4 linked regions of the Rhinolophus ferrumequinum genome follow. The protein of the gene in region 2 interacts with the protein of the main gene of each other region in a pairwise test. Links are inferred from orthologs where the notes say so. Each region holds a gene or a part of one and is shown on either strand. Other genes may lie near its edges.

Region 1 (7,858 bases), on a different chromosome or scaffold from region 2:
GGTTTCTTAAATGCTCGTAAAAACACTCACGAAAGAGGACTTCCAGAACTGCTTCAGAAAGTGGCAAGAAAGTGTTCAAAGTGAGGAGGAGTATTTTGAGGGGGATTAAAGGCAATGTGTCTTTTACTGTAATAAAATTTTTTTGAATTTAAACATTCACCGTATTTTTTGATCACACCTCATACTTAATGCCACTAAACTGTATACTTAAAATTGGTTAAAATGGTAAATTTGTTATGTATACTTTACCGTAATTAAAAAAACATGCTAAGATAGCACTTCACACCTTGGATGACTATGGAAAAGAAAAATAAAAATAACGAAAAATAACAAGTGGAGAAACTGGAAGCATTATACACTGCTGCTGAAGATGTAAAATGGTGCAGCCCTGTGTAAGTTTGGCAGTTCCTCAAAAAGCTAAACACAGAATACCATATGACCCAGCAATTCTGAACTGAAAAGATAGTCAAATAAATACTTGTACATTAATGTTCGTATTAGCACTATACAAATAGGCAAGAGGTGGAAACAACCCAAATGTCCATCAGTGGATGAAAGGATAGATGAAATATATCCATAACATAGAATATTACGCAGTCCTAAAAAGGAATACATGCTCCTACTGATACATGCTCCAACATGCATGAACCTTGGAAACATTATGCTAAGTTTAAGCCAGATACGATAGATCACATATTGTATATGAACTATCTAGAATAAGCAAATTCATAGAGACAGAAAGTAGACTAGAAACGGGGAGAAAAGAATGGGGAATCATTGCTTAATGGTTAAAAATTTTGGGGTGATAAAAAGCTTTGGAAACAACTGGTGAAATTTGCACAACACTGTGAATGTAATTAATGGCACCGATATGTACACTTAAAAATGGTTAAAATGGGGGTCAGCCAGGTGGCTCAGGTGGTTAGAGCTCCATGCTCCTGACTCCAAAGGCTGCCGGTTCGATTCCCACATGGGCCAGTGGGCTCTCAATCACAAGGCTGCCAGTTCGATTCCTCGAGTCCCACAAGGGATGGTGGGATACGCCCCCTGCAACTAAGACTGAACACGGCACCTTGAGCTGAGCTGCCACTGAGCTCCTGGATGGCTCAGTTGGTTGGAGCGCGTCCTCTCAACCACAAGGTTGCCAGTTCGACTCCCGTAAGGGATGGTGGGCTGTGCCCCCTGCAACTAGCAATGGCAACTGGACCTGGAGCTGAGCTGCGTCCTCCACAACTAAGATTGAAAGGACAACAACTTGACTTGGAAAAGTTCTGGAAGTACACACTGTTCCCCAATAAAGTCCTGTTCCTCTTCCCCAATAAATAAATAAATAAATAAAATGGCAAATTTTGTCATATACATTTTACTGCAATTTTGCAAAAAGAATGTAAAATACCAAAACCACTGAACTGAACCCTTTAAATGGAACAATTGTATGTGAGTTTCTCAATAAAGCGTTTTTTGTGGGGTGTGTTTTGGAAATGCAACAAATTTATTGATGAAAAATCAAACTATTCTTGATTCTGTTTTTGATTCCATCCTCTATACATGCTTTACATAGAGAAGAGCATTACTGAATGTTTTTCCTATAGACTACATCTCTAATTTTGTTAACAGTGAACTTGTTTGAACTAATCTATTCTTTCAAGACAGTGATGGTAAACTGGTGACCTACAGCTGTGTTTTCCTCTGGCCTGTAGTTTAAAAGAATTTCAATTTATTCTGGTAGGATTCAAACTATGGACTTCCAGATTTTGGGGTTTTCTTGAAAAAAAATTAGATGATACTGGCATCACTGGACCCAAAATCCACATGGGAGTTCTCACACAGATTGGCTTTTTCTGGTGAGGACAATCCAGTGGTTTTAATAAAAGGTAACTACTGTTGAAACTATGATTAAAATAGCTAATTTTGTTATATATATTAATTACAATAAAAATAATTCCAACAAAAAAAGGCAAGTACACCAGAGAAGACACCACCACATTAAGACACACTGCATGGCTTACTGATCACATAAGTGGATCAAGCTGCTAGTCAATTGTTTCATTTGGGACACACTGAATTAGCTGCTGAGTCCACACAGTGGAGGGTTTTGAATAAAAATGACTTAACCAGAAGGAACTGGTCTCAGAAAGCTAGTTTAGGCTCCTTGCAGGCTTAGGATGAATATGTATAGCAAATAAGTTAGAGAAAGTATTGAAAGTAAAAGAAATATTAACACAGGAATCCAGTAACTACTGGATTCCTTATTTCGGCGGTTGCTGTACTACCACTATTGCTCATCTGTGAATATTTATACAACTTTTCATAAGAATGAAGACTCCACACCAGCAATTTTTGTGAGGTGTTTTTTTTTTTTTCAATTTTTAACCCAACAAACACCAACTAAACACACCTTGGGCATTATAACAATGACTAAAATCTTGCCACTGACTTTGGCGCCCATAGAACCCAAGCCCCTGTGAATAATTTAGACAGACACTAGTCGGGCTTTCTTTTTTATCCTTTGAAAAAACCCATTAGCAGTGACTCATTTTTTAGGTTTTTTGTTTTTTAGCCAACAAACACGCTGGGTTTTACTCACCGATTTCTTCTGATTCTTGCCCAGATGCTTTAAGCTTGCATTCCTTTGGATAGTGTTTTTGAATTATCTCCCACAGTTCTCTATTGACAAGAGAATTTCTTCGGGTATGGTACCGAGTCCACGACGAGACCCGGCGGCGACAGAAGGGACAGCATAAATTCGCCTTTTCGACAGTCGATTGGAAGCATGCTTTACAGAGCGTGTGATTACAAGGCAGTGTTACGGGCTCGATCAAGATTTCCACGCAGATCCCGCATAGGCAATCCGACAAGGAACGGATGGCGTCTTTAGGCACAGCCATTTTAATATACTAAAACGGCATATTCAACATCAACACCCGAAAAGGCAAAGAATAGTATTTCCGGCCCAATTAATGAGAAAGCAAATTAGCAGTTTTGTGTTAAATACTGTGCCCAGCAGCGTATCAGAATTCAGAGATTGGACACATCAAATACGTCTTGAAGCAAAAGGCGCTCTGCGGGTCAGGTAAACAGTACTTCCCTGGAAGGCGGTGCAATTTGTCCACGTTTAGGACAAACGTAGGATAAGAAAATAAAGGTTTCCCTCGGAAGACCTTGGCTGTTCCGAGGCATTAAGAGAACCTTTTCCGCAGTGCGGGCGCTGGGTTCCGGTGCTCTGGTGCGGCGGGAGGTATGCGCCAAGTTCCCCTCCTCCCTCTCACCAGGTGAAGATGCTCCCTCAGCTGCCCGCAGCCAAGCCCAAGGCTGTCTAGGCACACACCCGCCAAAACCACCGCTCCGGGAAAGACGCTGCTTCCGCCCGGACGCCTGGCTTCACTAAAGCAGGTCTTCCGTTTTTTCGTTGCTGTATGGGCAGCATACGAACCCGAGCGTTCCAGCTTTTCGGTGTCTCATGTCGTTTCCTGGCGCTCCTTACCCCTGTATCAGTCAAAAAGCTTAACCTTTGCTGTGGTGCGGAAGCAACCCGATTGGGACTAGTAACGTCACAATTGCCCGCCAAAATGGCCCCGCCCACCAGAGAACCGCCCACGGGCAAAGACCAATAACAATGGGAAGGGCGGGACTTCCGGGTCCTGGGCGCGCCACCAATTCGGTCACCCGGCCTGGGGAGGGCCTTGCTCCCGCGTCTCAGCCCTTCCTACTTCAGCTTAGGTGAAGTCCGAGCTTCCTTTGCACTTTCTGTTCCCGGGGCTGCGAAAACCTGGGAGTGTCGCGAGATTTGGCCTGTGGTCGGAAAAGGGAACCCAAACAAACTTTAGAGGCCGAACAGTAATTTTTAAAATTCTTCCCTAAGTACTCAAACTACTTTTCTGTTTCTGTTCATTTGTAACTAAGCCTCTTAGTTCGCTGCCCAAAGTTCTTAGAAAAGCATCTCCGAGGTTAATCTCCCAGAAAGGTTGTGGTCTGAGAATCTCCAAACTGGTACAATTTATAAAGGCATTTAACACTGTAGAAAGCTATAGTCCAGCCCCTTCTCAAGTATGCGGCCCAGAGATAGGTTGTTTTGGGATTGCCTTCCCTCCTAGGCGTTTGGGAAACCTCCCGTCCGCATCCATCCTGACTGAAGCTTAGCAGTCATGTGCATCATTTACAATGTAGTACTTTATTATTAAGTATCAATCCAGAATAATCAAAATTATGAGGAAGCCAAAAAAGAAGATAGTTTAACATTTTATGCATTTTGAAATAAGTTTTTCCACTTGATATTAAGTTTTTGTACTGACAACTGAGCCTATTGAATTCAGTTCTACGAAAAATACATATTTTGGTTAGGAAAATGGCGGATTAAATATAGGTTGACCCTTCGTACTTGAGAACCAAGCCTTTGTGGACCAAAAAAAGAGATTGTATGGAAAGTAATTTCACAGGGTGATCTAATCATAACTTCCTAACTGGCAGATAGTGTTGGAGAGTCACACTCCAGGCATATAACTTTTTAGTAAAACGTTTTTCTTTGTCTTAAGCAAACAATCTCCACTGCTTCTGTGCATCTAGGTTAATGCACCTTTGAAATAAGTCATAACCTCCCTCAAGAGAGCACAGAATCTTGTCAACTATCCCGGAATCCAATCCCTGTCTTGCTTTCTCCCACCTTCCTGTGATCTTCCTTATTTCCCTCCTTAATTTCAAATGCATGAAAAAAGCTGCAAAATTTACTCTCTGGAGCATATGAAATCTTGCTCCCTGATGTATGTCATCAGTTTGGGTCAAATAAACTCTTACAAAAAATTCTCTATAGATTTGGACGTTCTTCCGTTAACACCTCATAGAGACAGAAAGTAGAATCGTGTTTGCCAGGGGCTGGGAGAATTATTGTTTAATGGATATACAGTTTCATAGTTTCATATGTTCTAGAGATAGATGGTGGTGATGGTTGTACAACGTTATGAATGTATTTAATACCACTGAACTGTTCACTTGAAAATGGTTAAGTTGGTAAATTTTATGTGTATTTTACCACAATAAAAAAATGGGGGTGGGGGGTAGAGAACTAGGCCTGAGTTTTTTTTGAGGAAATTAACTACAGAAAGAGAAAAGAAAACCACTGTGCATGAAAATAGTCAAAGTTCTTTTCGGTCTATTGGGTTCATTCAGATTGAGGAGATGAGTGGTTTCCAGATGGAACCAAAACAAGGATGTGTAGGTCCGTGGTAAAAAGCTTTGTTTTGTTTTAATGTGGGTTCAGAAACCTTTGGTTGACATCCAGTTGTCCAGTATCAATTCCTTAGCCCAGAATTCCACCTCCCTAATATGGTATCAATCTGCTTTTCCCATGGAATCTTCCATTATTCTTTGAAACATTCAACTATGATCTACTTTTTGTCATCTTGTGCTTTCAGGTCATTGCTTTCTCAATTCATCCTAAATGAGTTGGTTTGTGACTTTGCCTACTTCAAGGATCAACTCAGTGCACTTCTCCAGGAAGTATTTCTCCATCAGACAGTGATACTATAACAATAGAATGCTTCTGTTTCTCTCCCATATGCTGTTTACCATAAATTTTAGCATGCATTTCTCCCAGGGCCTTCAGGAAAATAGTTCCTATTGTTGATATGCTAATTGACTAGAGAAATTCTGCAAAAACAGCCTCCTGAATAAGTGGCAAAAGATATGCAAAGCCATGCCTGTTTATCAAAGATTTATAATAATCTCAGGACTGGATTCAGATCAGAGGGAGTCAAGAACTAACTGAGAACAAAGAGATTTGGAGATTTCTGTTCTTCCTTGGTTCCCACCTCTTGCCCAGCCCATTCTCCCTTCCCTTGTCATAAAAGAAGGCTGAATTCTGGACTCTCTTAAGATGGATTTTTAAAAATTTATTTCATCAAGTCTATTTATAATGCATTTTGAGTTTCAAAAATCCTTACATCTTTGAACAATATTTTTTGCAATTTTTAGTAAATTTTCCAAAGTGAACAAAAAGATACTATATAAAACACAGTAGACATTAAACTGACACTAGCATTAGATCTCATTTGTCTTGATCTTTTTGTTTTACCACATCTTGATTTGCTGTGTCTTAAGATGGATTTGACAAAACTAGAAATCTTCTATCTTTTCGTTATGGTGCCATTTCGATAAATAAAACTTTTCCTAATCTAAACTCTGATCTACTGGATATTAAATATTTGGTGCGTCAAGCACACAGGCCTTGTCACAGTAACAATATCTCGCTGAACTCATCCAATTGTATATCTCTTAGTGATAGTAGTTTTTATTGTAGTCTTATTATTTAACTCTTGCATTTTGATTTCTATTTTTAGGTACTTATGTCTTCTGTAATGGATACATTTTATGAGTATATGCTTCCTCCTTGGCCTTGTTTACTTTCTGGACCTACCATCCCTTAGTCTTTCTGGGGCTGACCAGTTGCTGCCTGGAATCGCTGGCTTCTCCTGCCACTTTTGGACTCCTGTGAAACATTGCACTGAATAATGTAGGCTCTGACTTTCTAATGGGTAGTGGGAGGGCTTAGATGATGCATCATGTAAGTATGAGGAGTCACTCCCCCCTGGAACAAATTTCGGCCAATTGAAAACAGTGGACTGAGTGAGCATGACAGAGAAATTCCCTTTCCTTCTTCCTTCCAAGAAGGCATGGGCATGGTTTCTCCAAACAGTGTGTATGGAGAAGGATCAGACTGAGTGGATGTACCTGCCAAGCAACTTCCATGTCTCTTGTGGCTCATTTTCAAGGAGGGGCCAGCAAGATTACATATCACCTTGTATTTTATCCTTCTCTACCTAACATCCCTTCCAGAGTATTACCTCATTCTGGCTGTCCTGAATTTGTACCTCCCAAATAAAGCATCAGCACTTACCCTTCACCAGGAGGACAGGATCCATATATATATACATTTTTTTAAGGGTTTTTTTTTTTTAAATTGGGGAACGGTGTGTTTTTCCAAGTCGTTGTCCTTCAATCTAGTTGTGGAGGGCGCAGCTCAGCTCCACATCAAGTCGCTGTAGCAGGGGGCGCAGCCCACCATCCCATGCAGGAATTGAACCAGCAACCTTGTTGTTAAGAGTTCACGCTCAAACCAACTGAGCCATTCAGCTACCCCTCCAGCAGCTCAGCGTTGTCTTCACTCTAGTTGTGGAGGGTGCAGCTCACTGGCTCGTGTGGGAATTGAACCAGCAACCCTGTTGTTAAGAGCTTGTGCTCTAACCAACTGAGCCATCTGGCTAACACATGGCATTTGTTGTTCAATAAATTGTATATACATCATAACAAAATTGTATATATATCATAAATGTATGGTCAATATGTGCGAATTCCTTTTCTAGTATAAATACCTGTGATATTTATACTAGAGAGAAAATGTATATCAACATACAATATATACTTTTTTATTTTTTATTGTTGTTTTGTCTTTTAATAGATGATACATTCACATGGTTCAGAATTCAAAATGTACAAGATGGATTAACAGTGAAAAGACTTCCTCCTACCTTTCACTCTCTAGTCTCTTAGTTTTCTTCCCTAAAACAACCAAGGTTATTACTTTCTTATGTATCTCTCCAGAAGTTTATAAAGTTTATGAGTATATTAGCTTATATGTGTCTATGTATGTATTTGTTTTTGCACTTTTTCCCACTTAACAATATATATTGGAAATAAATATTTTAAAACAATACATCTTACTGATAACACCATATCATTATACAATAACACAAAGAGCTTCTTCATTCTCTTATGTGGCTACACAGAAAGTATCCACTGTATCCATTTATCATAACTTCTCTAACACTCCCCTCACTTGTGCTATAAAAATAAACCCATAACAAAA
Region 2 (8,805 bases):
TACTAAAGAAACCCAGGAAATACGCACTTCCTATGAACTTTGACCTTAATGGTACAGGGCTTACTTTTAAGCATAAATAAATAAATAAAACCTGTCAGATCCTGCTATTAGGAAATATCTGAAACTTATTAAAAAGTTTACTATATAGAGCTCTTGGCATATATATTTACATTGTGCAACACAAACACAAAAAATATCTTTTAACTACTCATTACAGAAAAATACCAGTGTGTTCCTTTGCAATCAGCTAGTCCCTTAACGGAAAAAATTTTTAATCCTGCTGCAGCTGAGACTATTCTTTAAAGAATTAAGCCAGTATTCCTGTAGCTCTGCTAATTATATACTATTTAAAGAAAAATGTTATTTTTGTCCACTGAAAATATAAATCATTTACGTTGGATTGGTGTTTCTCAGGTCATCTAAATTAACTATTCCTAAAAATCTTATTTTCTTCGGAGGAACAAAATTTTTTCTACAAAAGTTTCTTTTTTCTTTTTTTACTTTTTAATTTTTATTTTAAGTGTGTTTTTCCAGGACCCATCAGCTCCAATTGAAGTAGTTGTTTCAACCTAGTTGTGGAAGGGCACAGCTCACAGTGGCCCATGTGGGGATCGAACTGGCAACCTTGGTGTTAAGAGCACTGCGTTCTAACCAACTGAGCTAACAGAGTGCCCAGTAAATTTCTTTTTTTTTTTCATGCTCCCATTTTTTAAAAGAAATTATTTTCTTTCAATTGATACCAAATTTGCATATCGGCATCTGGGTCATTCACTTCAGGAAAGGGCAACCACAAAAAACTCCCACTGTCACAAATAACATGTTTCAAAAAATGTTCCTTCATGATACCAAAACTCATTATTATTTAGTCCTGGAAAAGACAAATACAATTCTTAACACTATGTTAGCATAAGGATAAGAGAAAGAGGGCAATAAGTCAAAGATATCCAATTTGCCTGGAATGGGGGTAGGGAACATGGAAGGAAATTTTGAAATAAAAATTCACACCTCTAAAAAAATTTGCTCATGAAACTGAAATAAGTACATAGTCTTATAGTATTTTTGAGGGAAACAAAGAGTAAAATACAAACAATTTATTTGCTTCAAAGATTCAGAAAGACATCCAGATTTAGCTTGGATTTTTCAAGAGACTTACCCTGTGACAATTCTTTGGAAGAAATGGGTGTGTTAACTTACAAAACATAATACTGAATTCCAATTCATTAATTCATTCAACATTTAAGTGCTTTTCTGTGCGAGAAACTGCACAAAGCTTTGGGGACATAGTCCCTGCTCTCGAGGGTTTACAGTCTTCATTAATCCCACAGTTACTATCTACTATGAGCCAGATGCTGGGGATTCGGAGCAAACAGGAGACACAGGGTCCCTACCTGCATGCAGTTTACACTGTGGTAGGAGGGAAATGCCTCAAGGATGAGACATACATCTAAATACACAAGGATATTAACTAAGACTCAAGTTTATAAGTGCTGTTTATGGGAGTGTAGAGAGTTCAGGGGGACACAAAGGAGTAATGGATGGATTCAGGACAGGAGGGAGGGGAAGGCAGCGACTCCAGATGAGGTGACAGGAGAGCTGAGTCCTCAAAGAGGATTAGATGTTCACCTGGCCGACCTTGGGGGAAGGGCTCCAAGCAGAGAGAACAATTGGAGCAAAGGCAGAGAGGTGTGAACAGGCTGGTGTATGTGGTAGGTGTGGAACACAGAGACGTGAGATAAGTAAGTCATGGAGGCTTCCTTACGCCACAATAAGACTGGACTTTACTAGCATATATGAAAGGCCCTTGAAGGGTTTTATTTAGAAAACCAGCATATGTGATCAGGTTTTTCTGGTGTGATGAGACACTGGTCTACACACGAATGAGAAAAGAATAACACTAAATAATGATGTCACCATGAAACAACAAAGGAGACTTGCCCAGTTAGAAAACTAAACCCCCTCAGGAAAAAATATTAAGCCACTTAACCATCTAAGGCCTTCTGGAAAAAACTTTTTAATCAACATCATTTAAAACTGAAGAAGTAGAGGAAAGGTTTGTATATATTATAAATTATAACATCCACATATCTATCCTGAGTTTTCTGAATAGGTCTTAGCTTTTATTAATTGTGTAAACACATCTGGGGCTGCTGATTGCTGTACAGAAAGCAATGAAACTATTTAGGAAAGAGTCTTTGATACAAAAGGAGAACCACAAGTAACAGAAGGTTATTTCACAAGTCAGGTTTAAAGGTTTCCAAAGTTCAAGGTAATCAAGTTTTATTAAGTCTGCGTTTAAAAGGTGTGTCATGGGCTGGAGCAAAAGAAGGAGGGGTTTACAAATTAATACATACACAAATAAACAAGTAACTACCAGTATTGATGTTGCTGGGACTAAAACCACCACTTGAAGATCTTCTCCCAAGTAGAAGAAATGAACACCTACTAGATCCAATGAACACGAATAGAAAGGGGAGGGAAAGAGAGGATAATCACACGGGAAAATATAAACGGGGGGCAACCACCCATCCACAACCCATAATCCAGCTGGCGGTGGATGAGCAAATCATCTCCAAACCTCACAGGTCAGACTCCGCGATTCAGACATAAAGGCAGGGAAATGTCACTCTCAACTCCACAAGCAAACCACGAGCCTCTGGTCAAGGGGATATGATCACATACTCAAGGACAGAGTACCATCACCACACCAAGACTGAGGGGATGTGAAGGATCCCCCCTACTCTGGGAGTGGGGAGCAATCACCCTTAGACCCTGCTCTAAGGGGGTCAACGCCCCCCAGGCCAGGCCTTCCCGAGGCCAGGAGCAGTGACAGCCTCGAAGACCCCTCAATCTCTGCGGGAGCTGCCTCTACTCCTCGCACCCCCACCTCCCCAACACACACCCTCCCCTACCTGATATGGCGGCGGCGGCTCCTGATCCGGCTCTGTCCCCTCGCCAAAACTAGCCCGGTCGGACTGAGACTCGTGAAGCAGGGAGATGTCATCCGAAGTGGGGGATTTGAGGCAGTTCCCCATCTTCTGGGGCTGGGGTGTGTGATCTGGGGGAGGAAGAAAGCAGTGGCGGGGTCGTTCTTAGGCTCCGCGGTCAGCCTCGGTCAGCGAGGTGGGGTCCGGCAGCAGGCCGGGGCTCAGGCGGCAGCGGCTTCCCCGCCCCCCGGAGCCGCCGAAGGGCCGCTCATGCCAACCCCCGGGGTTGGGGGCTCAAGGCTGGCCGCGGGCTCCGCTGGGGTCGCGGCGATAGCCTCTGCGAGGTGGCGATGGGGGGGGCGGGCGGGGAGACGAGACACTTCCCCCACCCCGCCCCCCCGCGGGGCGGCGGCGGCCACGGAGCTGCTGGGCCTAATCCAGGTCAGGAGGTGGGGGCGCGGCCGTCGTGGCTGCTTCAGCTGCTGCCTCAGCTGCTGCTGCCCCTGCCGACGCCGGAGCCGCGGCCGCGGGCCTCATCCTACTCCGCCTCAAAGCGGCGGCAGCGGCGGCCAGAACGAGGCCAGCTGCGGCCCTGCGTCATGCCGCCGTGCGTGCTCTAGTCACGCCCCTGGCGCCGGGAGGCGTGGGCGGTTCTGGCTGCGCCCGCCCTCCACCCCACCTCCGCAGCCTTTCTAAGGCTGTGTGAGTTTCTGCTTGTCAGACTGTTGGTTCTATACCTGACTCTGAAACCTCTCTGTCGTCTCAACGTCCTCCCCACATCCACTTCTCCCTCCCTTCTTGTCTCAGCTCTTTACCTGTGCCCTGTTCTGACAGTCTTCTCACCACATTCGGCCAAATAATCTATTTATAAACCCTATCTGTATCACTCCTATGGTTAAAAGGTTAGGTGGTTTCCCCTTTATTCCTTCAAGATAAAGTTCGAGCTCATTCATGAACCTTCTCTATCTATCCAATCACTCCCTTGTTCTCCTGCATCACAGCTAGAGTCTTTTTCCAGCTGTATATCTCAGATTGTTCTATTTCTTTCCATTCTCAGCACCATAGTCCAAGCCACCATCATTTCTCGCCCACCCTACTGCAATGCTCTCAGCTGTTCTCTGCATTAACGGTTGCCCCATCCAATCCATTACCTGCACAGTTGAATTACCTTTTTAAAATGTAAATCGGATTATGTCATTCTGCTGTTTAAAACCTTCAGTGGCTTTCCCATACTGTTATGGGAAACTAAGTATTATGACTTAGTGTTATGATTAAGTATTAATTCTTAAATGGTTTACAAATCTGTCTACCTGCCTATCTCATCAGCAGCATTGTCCCCTCACATATTCCAAACTCTAGGCTGTGTAAACAAAGTACTTTCGGTTATCTAGAAGACTTCCCTCTGGCTGAGGCCTTTACCCATATTGTTTCTCTGATAGAAACTGACTTCTCCATTCCTAACCTTCTACCTCCCTCAGGCTAACCGTGATTTCCACTTGTCCTTCCTGGACTCAACTTCATTTCCCCTAGGAAGACTCTCCTAACCAACCCTGTCCAGTCTGGGTTAGTCATTTCCTTTGTGTTCTCAGTCCCTGATCTTTTCTCTGTCACAGTCTGATCAAGCTGAATCATCTGTCCCTTCTCTGTGCAGAGTCTGGCACACGGCCTAAGGCAGAGTAGTAGGCTCTTGGGTGAATGAAGGGGCAACTCAAAAGGCAATGTATGCAAAGGAAGGCAACAAGAAAGATGATGCTCCTAATATTCGACAAGAAGACAAGAAGTGGGTCTTGACTCTCTTTCTTTTGTCCACCATTTACTGCTTTTACTTATTTTTAAATATGTATTTATTTAGGCTCCAGACCCTATGCTAGGCACTGACTTACCAAACCTGGCTTTTTCCTGATGGAGCTCAGAGTCCAGCTAGGAAGACAAGTAAACAGCTGAGTCCTCTGACTCCCCCACCAAAGGTTTTTAGAGGGCCCAGAGGAGAGTGATTAGACAGTTAGGTGAGGATCTGAAAGGATTCTTGGAGTCCCTATTCTACAAAATTACTGTCTTGTTTAAATGCATTCGTATCTCATAGTAAATATAACCTTTTTGCTGCATGGCCTCTTCTCCAAGACTTGCCTTCCTTCCCATTAATGGCTCCCATCTAAATAGGTATGTAACTTAACACCACGTTTGTATCACAATCTTTTAAACACACTCCAAAATGATTGCTTAATTCACTAGCTTGGAAAAGTGAAATTATTAGATCCTTTAGGAGGAAAACTTCAGGCACATGCCTCTTCTCCCCCATTGTCATTTTCCTTGTCTGTTATAAACTGTTGCAACAGCTTAATGAAGATTTTGCCTCTGAATCATCTATCTATTCTCCACACTACTGCCATGAAAACTGTGATCAGAGAGCATTCATAGACTCATGGTTCAGAAATTTCGCATTAGCCTTGCACCATTTGGTCCCATCCTTATCTCCAATTCCAACTAGGCATCCTTATAATCCAGCCGCATCACACTACTTGCCATGTTCTCAATTTTCAGTATGCTTTTCCACCTCTGACCTTTTGCCTCACTGTTCTCTTTTGTTGAAATTCAGCCATCTTTAAGATGCTCCTTAAATACCTCTTTCTTCATGTAGCTGTCCTTGATTTCACTTAGTTGGGCTATATGTAACAATATAAAATAAATGGGATTTATTATTGTATTATACTGTATATATCTACATAGCATATATGAATATTTTAATGCAATTTAATATATAATCATAACTGCCATTTATTAACCTGAGCTAGATACATAACAGCCTTAAAAGGTATATATTGATATTCTTGTTTTGTAGGAATAGAAACATGGCTTCACATGGCTATTCAGAGGTAAAGCCAGGATTTGAATCATATACCCGTTGTTTTTATTAGGTTGTGGGAAAGGACTACATGTTTTTTCATCCTGGTCTTCCTCCCTCAGTGTGTAAAAACAAGGGAATGGGGGAAGACTTATCTTGAATGCCTTTGTAAGGAAGTAGCTATTCAATGATCTTTCTTCCTAACCCAGCTTTAGAAAGGAGCCTTTGGGAAGTGCCCTGTAGACCAGAGTGTGACCTAATCACAAAACATAATTTAAAATAGAAAATAGTAACCGGGACTTTTACAGTGACAAAGGCTCTTCTGACCTAACTCTGCCAGGCTTCTCTAAGCCCTCAGGGCCCTAACCTTGGGCTCTGTGCTTGGCCCACTTATTCCAGTTTTAGCAAGAATCTAGCTGAGTCAGTTTAGCCAGAATCCCCGACCCTCGGTATCTGACCACCTTGGCTTGCCTTCAGCAAAAATCCTATCAAGTAGGTTTAACCAGAATTCCCCTTATTCCTGATGTTTCCTCTTAGTAATTTTCCATCCACCCTGCTCCCACCCTGCTCCTTGCCCAGAAATCCCCATTTGCCCTTTTTGTATTAATGGAGTCCAGTTCTATCTATACTGAGGTTTCTTTTTCCCTATTGCAATAGTAGTTCTTGAATAAAATTTGCACCACTTTAACTTTTGTCTGGCTCTGGTTTTCTCTGACAGAAGGAGATCTAATGCAGAAGCAGATATGAGAGACAGATTTTTTTTTTTACATAGACCTTATTTTTCAGATCAGTTTTATGTTCACATCAATATTAAGCAAAAGGCACAGAGATTTACTATATGCAGCCTGCCCCCACACATACATAGCCTCCCCATTATCAACATTCTGCACTAGAATGGTACATTTGTTACAACTGATGAACCTGCAATGACACATCACTGTCACACAAAATCTTTGCTTATGTTAGGGTCACTCTTGGGGTTGTACATTCTATGGGTTTGGACAAATGTATAGTGACATGTAGCCACCATTGTAGCATCAAACAACATAGTTTCACTGCCCTAAAAATCTCCTGTGCTTCGCCTATTCCTCTTTCCCTAACCACTAACCCCTGGCAAACTCTGATTTCTTTACTGTGTTCATAATTTTACCGTTTCCAGAATGTCGTATAGTTGGAATCATACAGCATGTAGGCTTTCATATTGTCTTCTTTCACTTATAATATGCAATTAAGGTTTCTCCATGTCTTTTCATGGGTGGCAGCTCATTTTTTTTTTTTTAGCACAATAATATTCCTCTCTCTGGAGGTCCCACAATTTATTTATGCATTCACCTACTGAAGGACATCCTAATTGTTTTCAAAATTTGGCAATTATGAACAAAACTGCTATAAATCAGAGTACAGGTTTTCTTTCCATTTTTTTCATTGAGATAAAAAATATGCTTAACATAAAATTTACTATGTTAGCCATTTTTAAGTGTACAATTCAGTGGTATTAAATACACTCATAATATTGTGCAACCATCACTACCATCCATCTGTAGAACTCTTTTCATCTTGTAAAACCAAAACTATTCATTAAACAATAACTTCCCATTCTCCCCTCCCTCCAGCACTTGGCAACCACCATTCCACTTTCTGTCTCTATGACAGATATAGGTGTAATCATACAGTTTTGTCCTTTGATGACGGGCTTATTTCACTTAGTATAATGTCTTCAAGGTTCATCCAAGTGGCAACATATTGCAAAATTTTCTTCCTTTTTAAGGTTGAATAATATTCCATTGTATGTATATACCACAATTTGCTTATCCATTCATCCACTGATGGACACTTGGGTTGCTTCCATGTTTTAGCTATATATAATGCATTAAGAATATGGGTGTACAAATACCTCTTCAAGACCCTGATTTCAATTACCTGGTTTTATACCCAGAAGTGGAATTGCTGTATTATATGGTAATTCTACGTTTAATTTTTTGAGAAACTGCCATACTGTTTTCTATAGCAGCTGTACCATTTTACATTGCCACAGTCTGTTTGCAGGTTTTTGTGTGAACATGTTTTCAGCTAATTTGGATAAATATCAAGGAGCACAATTGTTGGATTTTATGATAAGAGTATCTTTAGTTTTGTAAGAAACTACCATAACTGTCTTCCAAAGTCGTTGTACCATTTTGCATTCCACTTGCGAGGAACGAGAATTCCTTTTACTCCCTATCCTCAGCAGTATTTGATCTTGTCAGTGTTCTGGGTTTTGGCCATTCGAATAGGTGTGTAGTGGTATTTCATTGTTGTTTATTTTCTATTTCCCTAAAATTTGCCTTGCATGTACTTATTTTCCATCTACATATTTTAATTGATAGGGTGTCTGTTAGAGTATTTGGCCAATTTTTAAAAGAGGGTTGTTTATTTTCTTACTGTTGAGTTTTAAGAGCTCTTTATATTTTTTAGAGAACAGTCCTTTATTAGATGTGTCTTTTGCAAATGTTTCCGCCCAGTCTGTGACTTGTCTTTTCATTCTCTTGAATCCTTTACATAGCAAAAATTTTTAATTTTAATGAAGTCCAGCTTATCAATTCTTTCTTTCATGGGCCATACCATGGATTGTATCTAAAAAATCATTCCTAAACACAAGGTCATCTAGATTTTCCCCTATGTTATCTTCTAGGAGTTATATATATTTGCATTTTACATTTAGATGTGATCCATTTTGAGTTAATTTCTTTGTGAAGGGTGTAAAATCTGTGTCTAGACTCATTTTTTGCATGTGAGTATCCCGTTGTCCTAATATTCTGTTGAAAAGACTGTCTTTTCTCCATTGTATTGCCTTTGCTCCGTTGTTAAAAATCAGTTGACTATATTTGTGTGGGACTACTTGGGCTATCTAGTCTGTCCTGCTGACCTATTTGTCTATTCTTTCATCAATACCACACTGTCTTGATTTCTGTAGCTTTATAGTAAGTCTTTTAAAAATACTTTTATTAAAAAGTATAGTTAACATACAATATTATATCAGTTTCAGGTGTACACCATAAC
Region 3 (8,229 bases), on a different chromosome or scaffold from region 2:
CAAGACAGAAACAAACTCATAGATACTGGGAATGGTTTGGTGGTTGCCAGATGGGAGGGGTTGGAAGTGGGTGAAAAAGGTGAAGGGATTAAGACGTACAAATTGACTGTTACACAGTAGTCATGGGGACGTAGGTAGGGTATAGCATAAGGAATATAGCCAATACTTTTGCAATAACTAAGGGATCAGAAGAATACTAGATTTATTGTAGTGATATATAGGAGGGGAGTTGAGGGGCAGGGTGAAAACTGAAGGGATTAAGAAGTACAAATTGGTAGTTACAAAATAGTCATGGGGATATAAAGTAAAACATAGGGAATATAGTCAATAATATGGTAATAATTATGTATAGTGCCAGGTGGATGCTAGACTGGTCAGAAGGATCACTTCTTAAATTATAATGTCTAACCCCTATGCTGCACACCTGAAATTAATATAAAAGAACAACTGAATGTCAAAAAAATTAGAAAGAAAGTAAAACAAAAAAACCTGTTAACTAAGAATTCTATATCTGGCAAAATTATTCTTCAAGAATGAAGAAATTAAGACATCCCCAGATAAACAAAAGCTATCGTTCATTATTAGTGGAACTGCTTATAAGAAATGTTAAAAGGAATCCTTCAGGCTCAGTAACAAATGACACTAGATAATAAGTTGAAAGCACATAAAGACATAAAGAACACTAGTAAAGGCAAATACCTAGGTAAATGTAAAAGCCAGTATTATACTTTGTTTTGTAACTCCTCTTTTTTCCCTATGTGATTTAAAAGGACATGCATAAAACATTAATTATAAACATTTGTTAATAGGCACATGATTTATAAAGATGATCTCTGACAACAGCAAGATAAAATGAGAGGGACAGAGATGTACAGTAGCAGAGTATATACTATTTTAAGTAAATTGGTATTATTGAACTTACAACAAGTTGGTGTCATAAGTTTAAGATGTTAATTATAATCCCAAAGGTAACCACTAAGAAAGTAACCAAAAAATATACAGAAAATGATAGAATCAAAATGGTAGGCTACAGAAACACAACTAGATACCAAAAAATGCAGTAATGGACAAACTGAGAAACAAAAACATATAAGGCATATAGAAAGCAAGTAGCAAAATGGCAGAAATAAATCATTCTTTATCAGTTTAAATTACTTCCAATTAAATCTCAGAGATTGGCAGAATGAATTTTCGTACAAGTTCCATCTATATGCTGTCTATAGAAGACTAACTTTAGATACAAAGGTACAAAGAGGTTGAAAGTAGAAGGATGGAAAAATACATTCCACGTAAATAGTAACCAGCTGGAGTGCTATATTATTAGACTGAATAGATTTTACATTAAAAATGGTTACAAGAGATAAGAAGGACATTACATACTGAAAAGGATTTAATCCAAGAAGATGATACAACAATTATAAGCATATATTTGGGGTGCCAAAAAACCAGGAGTGCCAAAAAAATTTATATAAGTGGACACTTTGGTCAACATTGCTCAAGTGTCTAGACGCTGATGGTAACCACTTTGAGCACCTCTTGTATGTAATTACAGAAGTCAAACGTGATTTGTTTTCATCTTTTATTGGTATATATCGAGTATTACAATTTTAATACAGTTCTCCTTTCTTAAAATGTGTATACATTTTTTTTGCACCCTCTGTATATATGTACAACAGAGCACCAAATATATATGAAACAAAAAGGGACAGGATTAAGGGAGAAATTGATAGTTCTAAAGTAATAATTGGAAACTTCACTATCCCAGTCTCAATAATGGATAAAACAACCAGAGACAAGATCAATAAGGAAAGAGAGTCTTTGGACGATGTTATAATTAGACCTATCAAATATATATAGAACACTTCACCCAACAATAATGGATTATACGTTCTCCTAAAGTGCACATAGAACATTCATTGTTCAGAGTAGAACATGTTAGGTCACAAAACAAGTCTTAATAAATTTTAAAAGACTGAAATCAGACAAAGTATCTTTTCTCATCACAATGGAACAAATTTAGAAATCAGTAACAGAAGAAAAACTCCCAGAAATATATAAATTAAAAAAAAAAAAGCCTTAAACAACCAATGGTCAAAGAAGAAATTAGAAAATACTTTGAGGGCTGGCCCAGTGACTCAGGCGGTTGGAGTTCCATGCTCCTAATGCTGAAGGCTGCCGGTTCGATTCCCACATGGGCCAGTGGGCTCTCAACCGCAAGGTTGCTGGTTCGACTCCTGCAAGGGATGGTGGGCTGCGCCCCCTGCAACTAACAATGGCAACTGGACTTGGAGCTGAACTGTGCCCTCCACAACTATGATTGAAAGGACAACTACTTGACTTGGAAAAAATTGTGGAAGTACACACTGTTCCCCAATAAAGTCCTGTTTCCTTTCCCCAATAAAATCTTAAAAATAAAAAAAGAAATAAAAAATACTTTGAGACAAATCAAAATGAAAACACAACAAACAAAACCTAGGGAATGCAGTGAAAGCTGTGCTCAGAGGGAAATTTATAGTTTTAATCATCTATATTAAAAAAGATCTCTAATAACTATATACCTTAGAGGAACTAGAAAAAGAAGAGAAAAGTGATTCAAAGCTAGCAGAAGGTAGGAAATAAAGATTAGAATGGAGATCAATGGAATGAGAATAGGAAAACAAAATAGAAAATCAACAGCACCAAAACTTGGTTTTTTTAAAAAAATGAGCAAAATTGACAAATCTTTAGCTAGATTGACTGAGAAAAAAAGAGAAGATTCAAATTGCTAAAATCAGAAAAGAAAGGGAGGACATTACTGACTTTACATTAAAAAGGGGGTTATAAGAGAGCAGTACTATGAGCATTTATGTATACAAACAAATTGAATAACCAAATGAAATGAAGTAATTCCTAGAAACATAGCCTACCAAGTCTGAATCACAATGAAACAGAAAATTTGAATAGACCTATGACTAGTAAGGATATTGAATCAGTAATCAAAAACTTCCCAACAAAGAAAAAAACACAGAAAATTTGAATAGACCTATAACTAGTAAGGATATTGAATCAAAAACTTCCCACCAAAGAAAAAACCCTGGATTTGATGGCTTCCCTGGTGAATTTTACCAAACATTTAAAGAAAAACTAATACCAAGCCTTCTCAAACTCTTCCAAAGAATTGAAAGGGGAGGGAATGCTTTGTAACTCATTCTATGGTATAAAGCCAGCATTGCCCTGATACTGAGCCAATCAAAGACACTACAAGAAAACAAAGCCAATATTCCATATGAACATTGACAGAAAAATATCCTCAACAAAATACAATACTGAATTTAGCAGCATATTAATAGGATTATATACTGTGACCATGTGGGATATATTCTTGGAATACAAGGATGGTTAAACATACAGAAATTGATCAGTGTTATACACTATGTTAGGAGAGTAACGGGGGGGAAAACTCCCTGATTTTTTCAATTGAAGAGAAAAAGTGTGTGACACAATTCAATGCCCTCTCATGGTAGAAACACTCTACAATCTAGGAATAGAGGGAAACTACCTCAACATAAGAAAGCCACATATGAAAAACCCACACCTAACATTACACCCAGTGGTGAAAGATTGCAAGTTTTTCCACTAAGATCAGGGATGCCCATTTTTGCCAATTCTGTTCAACAGAGTATTGGAAGTGGTAGCCCAAGCAACTAGCCAAGAAAAAGAAATAAAAGGCATCCAAATTGGAAAGGAAGAATAAAATTATCTGTTTCTTCTTATATGTAGAAAACCCCAAAGATCACACACACACACACACACACACACACACACACACAAAAACCTATAATAAGTGCAGCAAAGTAGCAAGATACAAAGCAATACACAAAAATCAGTTGCATTTCTATACACTTACAATGAATAATCTGAAAAGGAAACTAAGAAAATAATTCCACTTACAATAGCATTGAAATGAATAAAATACTTAGGAATTAATCGAGAAGGTCAAAGATTGCAATTGCAGTTTCAACCTCTCCCAGAAATATACTCTTAACCATTCTGGAACTTCCTGGTCAAGCACCAGTAAGGTAATATATGAATGAGCCCTCTTCATACCTCATAGAAAGAAGAGGCAATTTTAATGATAAAAACTCTTCCCATTTTCTTCCCCCAAATAAAATGTGCAGACCCAAAAATCGTGCTTTTAATAGCTCCCTTGCCCTACTTTCTTCCTATAAAAACCTTCCATTTTGTACAACCCCTCAGAGCACCCTTTTAGTTACTAGATGGAGTGCTGACCAATTCATGAATCACTTAATAAAGCCAATTAGATCTTCAAATTATACCCGGTAAATTTTGTTTTTTAACACAAAGTTTCTGAAATAGGAATCACAAAAACTGTGTTTCCTTTATAACTTGACCGTTAATACTGTGTGACACTAGCTAATTTATTCAACTTCTAGTGTCGCTTAACTCAGGTATTTAAGAACGCTTCTGGATCAACTAACCTCTTTCACATCCTTTAATGTGAACACCTGGACAATCCTAAAATCCGTGAGAGAATGGGATTCATTAGTTTTTCAAGCGGCCTCATTCCCTACGTGTTGGCAACCGTCTTCGGGCCCAATGACTCCTCTCCCGCAAACTTAGCAGCCTCCGCCTCCGGTTCCACGTTAAGACATGGTCGGGCAGGACCCAAGAACAGGCAGAGTCGCCCTCAAGCTATTGCGCGTGACATCCCAGAAGCGAGGACTGAAGAAAAGACAGAAACGCCGATTCTTCGCCGGCTCCCGACGCTTCAGGTCAGCGCCCAGGGATAGCCTCGAGGCCGGCAACTTCCCCTGGCATTGCCGGTGCTGTCATTCCGTGCCCGCCTCGGCCTTGCGCCACCCAGCAGAGACTCCTGCGGAACACGCACAGGTAACCTCCCACTCAAACCAGGGCCCCGGAAGTGACGTCTGTGCGCGCGTCACGTGCGCACGCGGCGCCGGGGGCGGGGCTTGAGAAAGGGAGGGCCCTTGTGAGGGCGGGTTGTGGACTGGCGGACCCGCGACCCACTGGAGAGACGCGAGGAGAGCCGCGTTCTGGACGCCGGTTGAGCCGCAGACGAGGTACGGAGCTGACGGACCCGGGCCGAGGGCAGCGCTCTTCGCGGCTCCAGGTGGCGGGGCGGCGGCGCCATCCGGGCGGGGGCTGCTGGGTCATTCGTCAGTGCCTCCCACCGGCCGGGGCCGTTTGGCTTCGGAGCCTCTTGTGGTCCTCTGTCCCAACCCCGGCCCCGGCGGCGCGGCCCTGGCCGGCCCCAGGCCGTGGTCGTCTCCCTTAATCCTCTTAGAGCTCAGCCTGCCCGTGTCAGGCGCTGGTCAAGTTCTCCAAGGCCCAGCCCAACCCCGACGGACAGACGCTTACTATCATTTCCTGGCCGACTTGTGCCACCCATCCTGCCCTCGCGGGATGGCTTCCCTCTGGCCGGCTTTCTCCTCACTGTCCAGTCCGCGGAGTCCGAAGGTACACCTGTGGTGGCGGCCGGTCGGGTCGTGCCCTGGGGCCTTGGGGACCCGCCTGGATTGGAGGCTTTGGACCCAGATCGCATCCTGGCCTTGGCAGGGGAGCCGGGGCATCACGAACCCGCGTCGGTCTTGGGGAGGGAAACGAGCCGGAGCTGGAAGGGTGCTGACTTTCGTCGCGCGGGACTTGAAGACTGGTCCTAACTTTCGCCCTGTGATTGGTTGAGGCCCTGGGATTAGGGGCAGAAGTCCCTGCTTCCGAACCGTGTTGGAGGAGAGCAGAGGGGATGCCCAGCCATCACGGAAGTTTAGTAGAGAGGGAGGGAAGGACCCAGCCACTTTGGAGAACAGCTCATAGACAGCTGCTGGTGGTGTCTCAGCGCTGGTGACCAAGACCTGTGTTTGGGAACTGTGTCTGTCATTGGTCGCTGGTGGGCTCGTGTTGCCTTTGAGATTAGACGTGAAAAATTGCCGGAACGAGTTTACAGCATCACCCGAGGTGTGGTTTTTTGGGAACCGAAGAGTTGTTTTGTTTTTTGAGATTAAAAAATAGTTGTACTTTTTTCTATAAACCTAAAACTGCTTTTAAAAAATTATTAAATAGTTGTACCAGAGGTACAACTTGCCAGAGGTGCAAGAAGATTTGACTGTATTTTTAGTTTATTTAGTAAATAATGTTAATTTTTAAGAGTTACTGGTTCGCATGCAGAAGATTAAGAAGTGTTCAAGATTTGAGTTTTTACTGACGTTGTAAACTATCCTGTTTCTTCTCTCTAGAAGTTAGACAATTTAGGAGAGGGGAGGGAGGAGACACAGCAAAGATACTTTGAAAACAACATTGGAGCACTCTAAAGGTCCCTCCTCACCCCGAGGGACTGCAGGATGTGGACGGTGGAGAAAGGTGGCATGGAAGGCCTTTGTGGAAGTAAAGTGAAGAATTGAGTAATATTCAAACTAACAAAGCAGGGTGGGAATTTTAGGGGTAGATAGGAATGTGGGCGTGGTGCCACTAAAGGAAAAGTGGCCAGTAACTACCAGGAGGTGGTTTTTGAAAAGTGAAAAAGAGCAGGGCAGAGGTGGAGGTAGAGGGGCAGAGATGCTGGAGCTTGCTAGGCCTTTGACCTGCTAGTGACAGCACTGGGGAAGGGCTTTAAGGAGGGGCATTTCGTCCTTAAATAGAAGTTTGCTGTGTGGTGGCTGGGGATTGTGCCCAGGTCTGTGTGCTTGATTATGTGATATGCGTATTTTAATCTTTTCTGCTCATTAAGTGTTTGAATTGAATTGTCTGTTTATTTACTACTTGTTTCTTTGTGTAAGAGTGACGGACCTGCGAATTTGTAAGCTTCTATAAACAGAAATTCTGCTTTTATCTCTTTGCATTTTCAATCCAGGTTGGGAATTCACAAATGTTCCATGAGACTTATTCCCTTGATGAGAATTCATTGATTTCTGATGTTAGTTTCCAGTGAAAATTTGATCAATACTTATTTTAATATTTACATACAAAAAAAACTAAGATCCTGTTTGATTTACTTGTGGCAGTCTTTGGCTAGAGGCAGAATTTCAGTCTTGACAGTATGAATTTAATTTTGGGCACATATGTTTTTATTGGTTGCAAAGGATACATTTCTAGCAGAGCTGATCTATCCCTAAAATGTAGGCAATACCTGTGTAACATACACCTGTCTATTCTGTGACACAGAATAGAAATGCTATTAAGTGTCTTCTTAACCCATAAATAAAGTTGTCACACTAAAAACAAGAGTTTCACAATAGAGGCCAAACATTTTGAAAGTCTTATTAAACGCTCATGTCTTTCATAAAGCATTGTAGAAACATCATGTTTCAGATGACTGAAATACCTTGAAATAAGCTAGACTATTGTTGAATAAATGCTTAGGAGAAACAACGATAGACTTGTTTTTATCCCACTTAATATGTGTAACTCATGTTTTTTGTGTTTGCTATTTGGATGAAGCTAAAATACTTTAAGAAAAGGCTGTCTTTTTATGGTGCCACTTTCAAATTACCCAGTGAGATTTCTGATTTTGATGAAGTACTGTTGGCGTAGAAAGTATAAATTTTACTGCGTAGTAGAGCCTTTTTTCGTGTGTCTGGTAGCATACCTCATTTATGGTCACTAGGAGGGTGAAAAACTAATTATAATCAATTAACTAGATACATATATATAGTTAAAAGTCAGAAGTTATGATCAGAATGACAAGTATGAGTTCATGAATGGGTAAAGTTTTACACACTAAGAGAATCTTAAGCTTTTTATTTTCCTCAAATGACAGCAAGGAGATTGCTGGCTTCCCTGAAGCAGGAATGTAGCAAGAGCCTTTGGGGCTCTAAATTCTTTGCTGCCTCACATTAAGGAGTGATGGCATCATCCTCTGTGCTAGGAACAGGGCAACGAAGGGGTTGTACACAAATTGTATGAATCAAATCTGAAGCTAGTCTGGTCAGTTCCCATTCAGAATACTCAATTGTAATTGCAGTCATGATGATTTGGTGTGTATTTTAAACTAAAAATTAACTGTTGGATTTTTACATGGGGATATATTTACAATTTTCTGTGTGCTCCAAAGTTAAAAATACATAATGAAAGTGTTTTATTTTTGTATTTCCTCTGTTGTTAGAATTTCCTAATTTTAGAAATAATGGTTGCTAAAATACTTTCTGTTTTCTTTTGGAGCACAAAAAAGATAATGTCTTTAGAAATTGAACTCATAAAATGTTTATTAATGGA
Region 4 (7,798 bases), on a different chromosome or scaffold from region 2:
GAAGGCAAAAAGGAAAAGATTTATCCATTTTTTATTATTATTTTTTATTTTTTTAGTCATTTTAATGCATTATTCCCTGTGCATAAGAGAAATAACTGATAGAGTCAAAAGATACAGTTTCCTTTACATAGCAGTTAAAAGTAATGCAAACATCACATGACACTTTCAGTGGAAGTTACATTTCTAATTACAAATCAAAATGTGTATTATTAGGGTATCTTTATGAGAGAAGCTGAGAAAGAAGTCTTAGGTAAAAAGCACTTTCCTGGCATTACTACACTGATCCTTCAGGCTGCACAAAGATTAAGGTCATATACAGTCAATCGGCAAATGTTGACACAATTTCACACAGTAGTTTTCTGTACAATTAAATGTATACTTAGAAATACCAGGATAAACATTTCTACTATATTTGAACTGAACTTGCCTAGCCAACATTTTCACTGAGTTGATCAAAGATGCTGTAAGATTCTACAAAATTGTGACATACCTAGCTCCAGAAATATTTCTTATATTCTCTCATTTTGATGACATATTCTGCTCAGATTCCGCTCAGAAATTCTGTTGTAATATTTCTAGATGTACAGTTCCAATTGTGCTTACTGTACTGTGTACAAATATAACAAAAAAGATCAAAGACTGATATAAATCTTACAGCATTTTGCTAGCAAAAATACATGCCAAAGTCACAATAAGCAATATTGTACCACAAATTAGAGCTTCAAATAATTTGCTTCTGGTTTTAATATTTTCATTCTACATTAAATTACTATAAGCTAATGTTTAAAATGCAAACAAATTGGACATCTGTAGGACAAAACTTGTTCACCCAACTGTGAAGTTTGATATCTGTTTCCAAAAACCACAATAAATGCAGAAGAGAAGTGTTTGCATGCAACACCTTTGAGTGAAACAGCATTGATTCCCACCATTCAAAACAGACAAGGAGAAGGAAGGAAGGAAGGAAGGAAGGAAGGAAGGAAGGAAGGAAGGAAGGAAGGAAGGAAGGAAGGGAGGGAGGGAGGAAAGAAGGAAGGAAGGAAGGGAGGAAGGAAGGAAGGAAGGAAGGAAGGAAGGAAGGAAGGAAGGAAGGAAAAAAGAAGAACAAAAAACAAGGAAGGACAAAAGGGAGAGAGGACAAAAGGAAGGGAGGGAGGGAGGGAGGGAGGAACGAAAGAGGGAGAGAGGGATAGGGGTATGGACTCCACCTTAAAATGTATCATATTATATTTATAACTAGACAGATTTAAAAGAATCAAAACGAAAGAAAAGCATGATTTTGTGTGTTTAAAGATTTAAGAGCCATTATCAAAAATAAGATACATTTTTTTCAAGGTACAGAAATGTAATTATGATGGCTGGGAGCCCAGCAGCCTCTCAATGGCTGCATTGATATCGCCTCCTGTTGCTATTAGAGCCTGCAAGTTTGCTTCACGGTTTAAGAACCCCATTGCGTTGAGCTGTTCCAGTTGTTGCTGAAATCTGACTTCTGGATTTGGCAGCTGTGGAGGATTTGCTCCAGCCAGAGCCTGCACCATTTGCTGAATGAATTGCTGGTTGGGTCCAGATTCCGATGTTGGGCTCGTGGTTTCACTAGGTGCAGAGCTAGACATGGTGGGCCCAGGGGTGCCGCCAGAGCCAGTGGAACCAGGGGGACCTGCAGGGCCAGTGGGTCCTATGGGCCCAATGGGACCTATGGGGGTAAATGGGACTATGGGGCCAATGGGGCCTATGGGTGTGACTGGGCCTACAGGGCCTATAGCGGTTCCCAGCACCCCCACCCCCACACCTGGAGTGAAGCTTGGAATGAGGCCAGGAGCTTCAGTGGCTAATGTCTGTAGCCCCTGCTGGATCTGCATTAAAGCCTGCATTGCTCTTGGGTTTGACATAGCTGACAGCGTATCTGGATTCTGCATCTGCTGCAGGAAAGCCGGGAGCTGTGGACGCATCTGCTCCTGCAGCTGAGGATTTGCAGTAAACACTGGGCTATTCAGCATCATCTGTGCAGCCAAATCTGGATTCTGGCTCAGTGACTGCATCATGCTTCTCATGTAGGGCGCAGACAGCATATTCTGAATCAGCTGGGGGTTTTCAGTTATCTGTTGCAGCAAGCTCTGCATTCCGGGGGTACTGAAGATGCTGGCAACATAATTGGCTGCAGCCATGGTGTTCCCAGTAGCACTACTGGAGCTACTGCCAGACCCACTGCCACTGCTTGTGGTTGTGCCGGTGGTGGTAGAACTCTGAGTAGCCGGTGGTGGTGCCCATGGATTGGGTAGTGGATCTCGATTTTCAGTGCGGGAAGGCTGTGTACCTTCCCCGGAGGAGGAACTGCTCCCGGTGGAGGCAAACGGATTACCCCCGAACTGCTCTTGTGCAGCATTCAGCATGGGTTCTTGAATGTCAGTGTACATGCGCCGTAGGGCATTATAGCCACCTGGGATGCTTTCGAGATTGCTGAGAGCCAGGTCTTGATTTCTCATCATCTCTTGCATCATTGCTGGATTCCTGGCGATTTCGAGGGTCTGCCTCATTATATCTGGGTTGTTGAGCAGGTGACTGATTTCTGGGTTTCTCTGAATCAATTGTTGCATCTGTGGATTGGCCATAATGAGCTGCCTCATCAGATCGGGATTCGAAAGCATGCTCTGAACAAAGGGATTTTCCATGATTTGGATCATCATCTCAGGGCTGGACAGAAGCTGCTGCTGCATCTGATTCTGGAGCTCAGAGAAGTTGGTCGAGCTCAAACCCAGGCTGCTAAGGCCTGCAAGTCCTCCCAAGCTCCCCAACCCAAACGGGTTGCTATTTGTGGAAATAGGTGTGGAGTTACTCCTGGGAGTCGACGCGGTAGTAGTATTAGTTCCCGCGGCATTACCGGGCTGTGTGGACTGGCCCTGAGGTCGGTTCTGGCTTTTGATGACAAGGTGAACAGTCAGTCCATCATGGATGCCGTGCTGGATCAAGGTATCTTGATCTTTTAAAATTTTTCCGGCAAAAATCAGCACTAGCTGATCTGTTTGGGATTTGAAGCGTTTCGAAATCGCTTCCTTAAACTGCTGGACTGAGCTATTCTCTGGCACCGCGAACTCCTCTTTCTCTTTGGGAGTCTTCACAGTGACTTTGATGATTTTGGGCTCGGCCTGGGCAGAGGCAGGGCCTTGGGCCGCAGCAGGGCCGCGGGAGGGGCGCGGGGGGCCGCTGCTCTCGCCGTTCTCAGCCATGGCGGCCGCGGTGACGCAGGCAGACAGGGAAGGCGCGGGCGGGCGAGAGAGAGAGCGAGGGAAGGAGGAAGGAAGGAGGCGCCGCCGCAGCAGGCTGGGCCGGGCCGGGCGGGGAGCGCGGAACACAGTACCTCTGTAATGAAGATTGCGGTTTTCTGATCCTCGGGTGGAGAGACGGTTCCGTGCAGGCCGCGGGCCGAGATCTCAGCGCTCAGGTCTCAGGGCCTCCACCGCCGCCGTGTGATCCCACCGCGCGCACTCGCAGCAACTCACGCAGCCGCTCCGCCCGTTCCTCCCCGCCCCTTCCCCTCCCCCAGTGCCGCGCGCACCTCCCCGCCCCCCTCTGCTGACGCGGCGCCAGGCCCAGAATGATAGATACGACTCGAGCAAAATTAAAAAACTTCTATACTGAAAAAAAGGGGGAGGGCGGGAGAGAGAGAGATTGAGAGAGACAGAAAGACAGAGAAACAGAGAGGGAAATAAACAAAGACTAAAGAGTAGAGAAAAGAGGGAAGGAGGGAGGGAGAGAGGAAAAGGAACCAGCTTCTGTAGAAGACATTAGAAGACCAATAGGGGAAATATATATATGTATATATAAATCTCTTAATAAATCTCAAGAAAATATATATATGTATATATAGATGTGTGTGTATATATATATATATATATACACACACATCTATATATACATATATATACATATATATGTATATATATATATATATATATATGTATTTGAAGTCCGTAAGGCAGCGAAAGAATGAAAGCCTGAATCCAACTGACCCCATGTAAAGACAAAAAATGAAAAATAAAGAACAAAGCAAAAAGGAAAAGATTAACATCCCCAATGAGAGAATGGGAGAAGACTGGGCAGAAGCATACATTTTACGAAAGAAGTGCAAATGGTCAAAGGGCATATAAAAAGATGATTAAGCTCACCAGTAATTAAAAAAAAATCCAAATTAAAACAATGAAATTATACTTCTGCCTTGTCACATTGACAAAGATGAAAAATGATAAACCTTATAGAGAGCTGAGAAGATGCACTCTCATGCTAATCGAAGTGTAAGTTATAATCATAAGGCAATTCGAAAACATAAATCGACATTTTAAATATTTCCGCCTTTCTCTAGAAATACCTCATTTAGAGACCTTGCCTATGAAAATAATTGGATAAGGATGCAAAAACATAGATGTATAAAATGTATATGCACTGCAGTATTTTCAAAAAATTATTTTAAAAGATGATCAGTGTCTGTTTACACAAGATTGGTCAAATATGATATTGCCATACAATAAAATAATATGCACTATGTTTAAAAATGGGTGGTTAATTCATAAGATATAAAGTATCTTTAAAGGTATACATGAAATAAACAGTAGTTCTAGGAAAATTGAGAGTATTTTCACTTTCAGCTAAGTATGTATAGTAGAAATTATACAAGCCTGTTTGTTTCAATACCAAAAAATACAATAAATATGTTTATTTTAAAACTATTTGAAACAGTTTATGTATATAAACTGTCTTTAACTGTATGTGTAAAAAGAAATCTGGAATATTATTCATTAGTATGTTACTGGTGGTGATTCCTTAGTGCTGAAATTATGAATAACTATTCCTTTCTCTTTTTAATTTTAGATTTTTTGATGGCTTTTATAACTATGCCCTGCATTTATAATTTTTTTAAAAAATCAGAAGGCATTTGGGGGTAGATTATAAGTAGATACTGACAGGCATACAATAGTAGTGCCAGACATTACCATATTTAACTAATTTAGTTACAGATAAGTAGGAGAGATAAATAAAGATGTAACACTGGAATAATAGAACAAATAATTTCAAATTTATGTATAAATTACTTTTTTAAAAAAGAAAATTTGTCAAATATTTTATTTAACTCATTAAATTATAAATTTTGAACTCTAATTTATGCTATCCAGAAAATACTTTTCCCTCCCAGTATCCAGCCAGCATTTGAAAATAATTAGGCCACAAAAGCCTTAAAATATCTCAAGAAAAGAAAAAAAATGAGTATGTAATGTCTATCAAAAGGGGAATGGATTAACATAGTATGATTTATATGATTAATAGAATACAGAAGATAAAAGGAATGAACTAAATCTAAACATATTAATATGTATAGATCTCAAAAAGCTAATTAATTAGCACAACACTATGGTGTTTATAGATGCATTCACATGTATGTGGAGCAATCGCAAATATACTAGAATGATTCATACCAAACTTGCATTCATGGGGAAGAGGAAATGGACTAGGGCACAGGATAGTGACTAAAAGGAAATTGAGTTAAATCTGTAAAAATACATAAATTTGAAATTATTTGTTCTTTCATTCATCTTTATGGAAAAATATGGCAAATATGGCAAAATAACAATAGTTAATTCTAGATGATAGGGATATGAGTATTTATTATAATACAGTTGTATTTGGGGGGATTTTTAATTTTCCAAAAAATAAGAAAATATCACAAGTTATCTTATTTGATTTCAATAGAACAAATCTAGATATTAATAATGAAAGTGTGAATGAAAAAGTCAACCACTTGAAAATTAAAATAGCATTACACACTTTGGGGACAAAGTGCAAATCAAAGTTTTTATTAGAGTAAATTTAGAAAAACGACAATAATGAGAATATATACATCAATAATTATGATGAGAATTTCCTGTGTGGTCTGAGGGTCGTGTTAAAAAAATACATGAATCTAGGCCCCACGATAAACTTACCAAAATAAGTGGTGCTCAGAAAACTGCATTCTTACCAAGCTCCAATTTAATGATATTTGATTTACCATGTCCTATGTGAATGAATTCAGGGTCAAATTTATATACTCACAGACCAAATACAAAACAATTAAAAGTGAAAATAAATGAATTAGGACAACAGAAAAAGAGGGAAACGGTGCTGAAAAAAAATGATAAAAGCAAACATTAATGAATTAACAGAAAGAAAAATAAAATTTGTTAAGTGAATCTAAGAAGTTCTTTGAAGAAGCAAATCAAATAGATATGCCATTATTAGCTAGTTGATTTTATTACAAGTCCATCACCAAAGAAAACAGCAGGAGTCACCCTCTCTAGTCGGTCAAAAGTACATTTTTTTTTCCTACTGTAAACTCTTTGTTAGAGAGCAGAAGTAAGAATAAATACCAATCATCCTGGAGTCCCTCCATAGAAGGGTAGTTTCTGAGGGACTAAAAGACTTGTCAAAGAGCATGTCCCCATGGAGGAATCACAGTTTGGGTTCAACGGACAATGTTAGAGATTTCATGCTATGTTGGCCTTTGTTGTTTTCCTCCCTCCCCCTAGATTTATTGAAATATAATTGCCATATAACATTGTGTAAGTTTAAGGTGTACAGCTCATTGATTTGGTACATTTATATATTGAAAAATGATTACCATTGTATCATGACCTAACACTTCCATCACGTCACATAATGACCATTTATTTTTTTCATGGTGAGAACATTTGAGATATACTCTCTTAGCAACTTTAAAGTATATAATACAGTATTATTACCTACAATCACCATGCTATACATTAGATCCCCAGATCTTATTCATCTATTAGGTTAGTGCAAAAGTAATTGTGGTTTTTGCAATTATTTTTAACCTTTTAAACCACAATTACTTTTGCACCAACCTAATAATACTTGGAAGTTTGTACCCTTTGACAAATATCTCCCTATTTCCCCCCAACCCACAGCCCCTGGCAACCACCACTCTACTTGTGTTTCTGAGTTCCACCAAAAGCACATTTCCTTGAGTTTTTATCCATTTTTTAATAAATGATGTTATATTTTGCATTTTGTTTCAAAATATATCCATTGTAATGTTTTAAATTACTTACAACTAAATAAAATGAGCATTCCAGTGGTTGAATGAACATGCCTTTGTTAGTGAGAAGAACAACATCAATTAGCTTAATCTTAAAATTTAAGAAATGAGCAAGAAGATAAATACATAAAAACTGGGATTGCGTAATTTTTTTTTTAAAGTATGATAATACTTTGTAAAAATCTTGGCTAACAACAAAGAAAAATGGATGATTCTATAAATTTTCTAGGAAGATATACATGACCAAAATATATTAAAGAAGTAGAAAACCTTAACAGATCATGTAAGACACTTGTAAGAAAAAGAATAAGAAATCAAATAATTTGCTATTTTAAAATCATCTTTCTTGTTCAGGGTTGTGGCTGAGCTAATGCTTTTACCTCCTCTCTTTAGCAAATCCCATTCAGTTAATTGAAATGACATGAGAAAAATAATAAATCCCTAACAGTGTTGAAAAGGTGGAAAGAGTGCCATCCATGAATCTTCATGTTAAATACCAAAAAATTCTAGATAAAAAAATGAAATCATAAAACATTAGAGCAAATATTTATATAACCTAAGCATGGTGGTGACCTTTCTAGAACAACAAAGAAAAGGATACATTAAAATTACAACTAAATTGTAGAACAATCAACCTGGGGAACCATCTGAAGTCTAGCTAAACAGAAGTTCTATAACTAAAAATATAAAGAAGAAGCTATGGGGAGACTAGTA

What was found.
Region 1: the proteins of RNF11 (region 2) and RNF168 interact in binary tests that used the Homo sapiens proteins (3 or more experiments, as listed by UniProt). The link is inferred for Rhinolophus ferrumequinum from reciprocal best matches to the Homo sapiens genes RNF11 and RNF168.
Region 3: the proteins of RNF11 (region 2) and RABGEF1 interact in binary tests that used the Homo sapiens proteins (3 or more experiments, as listed by UniProt). The link is inferred for Rhinolophus ferrumequinum from reciprocal best matches to the Homo sapiens genes RNF11 and RABGEF1.
Region 4: the proteins of RNF11 (region 2) and UBQLN2 interact in binary tests that used the Homo sapiens proteins (3 or more experiments, as listed by UniProt). The link is inferred for Rhinolophus ferrumequinum from reciprocal best matches to the Homo sapiens genes RNF11 and UBQLN2.

The regions. Positions count from the first base shown.
Region 1 is NC_046285.1:50,814,662-50,822,519, forward strand, and holds the start of RNF168 (E3 ubiquitin-protein ligase RNF168), read right to left. Parts: upstream 3,552-7,858; 5' UTR 2,889-3,551; coding exon 2,588-2,888; intron 1-2,587. UniProt on the Homo sapiens protein: E3 ubiquitin-protein ligase required for accumulation of repair proteins to sites of DNA damage. Acts with UBE2N/UBC13 to amplify the RNF8-dependent histone ubiquitination.
Region 2 is NC_046292.1:36,590,999-36,599,803, reverse strand, and holds the start of RNF11 (RING finger protein 11), read right to left. Parts: upstream 3,514-8,805; 5' UTR 3,033-3,513; coding exon 2,910-3,032; intron 1-2,909. UniProt on the Homo sapiens protein: Essential component of a ubiquitin-editing protein complex, comprising also TNFAIP3, ITCH and TAX1BP1, that ensures the transient nature of inflammatory signaling pathways. Promotes the association of TNFAIP3 to RIPK1 after TNF stimulation.
Region 3 is NC_046290.1:99,235,307-99,243,535, reverse strand, and holds the start of RABGEF1 (rab5 GDP/GTP exchange factor), read left to right. Parts: upstream 1-4,954; 5' UTR 4,955-5,081; intron 5,082-5,097; exon of another isoform or gene 5,098-5,478; intron 5,479-8,229. UniProt on the Homo sapiens protein: Rab effector protein acting as linker between gamma-adaptin, RAB4A or RAB5A. Involved in endocytic membrane fusion and membrane trafficking of recycling endosomes. Stimulates nucleotide exchange on RAB5A. Can act as a ubiquitin ligase.
Region 4 is NC_046284.1:80,383,680-80,391,477, forward strand, and holds UBQLN2 (ubiquilin-2), read right to left. Parts: upstream 3,515-7,798; 5' UTR 3,225-3,514; coding exon 1,350-3,224; 3' UTR 1,082-1,349; downstream 1-1,081. UniProt on the Homo sapiens protein: Plays an important role in the regulation of different protein degradation mechanisms and pathways including ubiquitin-proteasome system (UPS), autophagy and the endoplasmic reticulum-associated protein degradation (ERAD) pathway.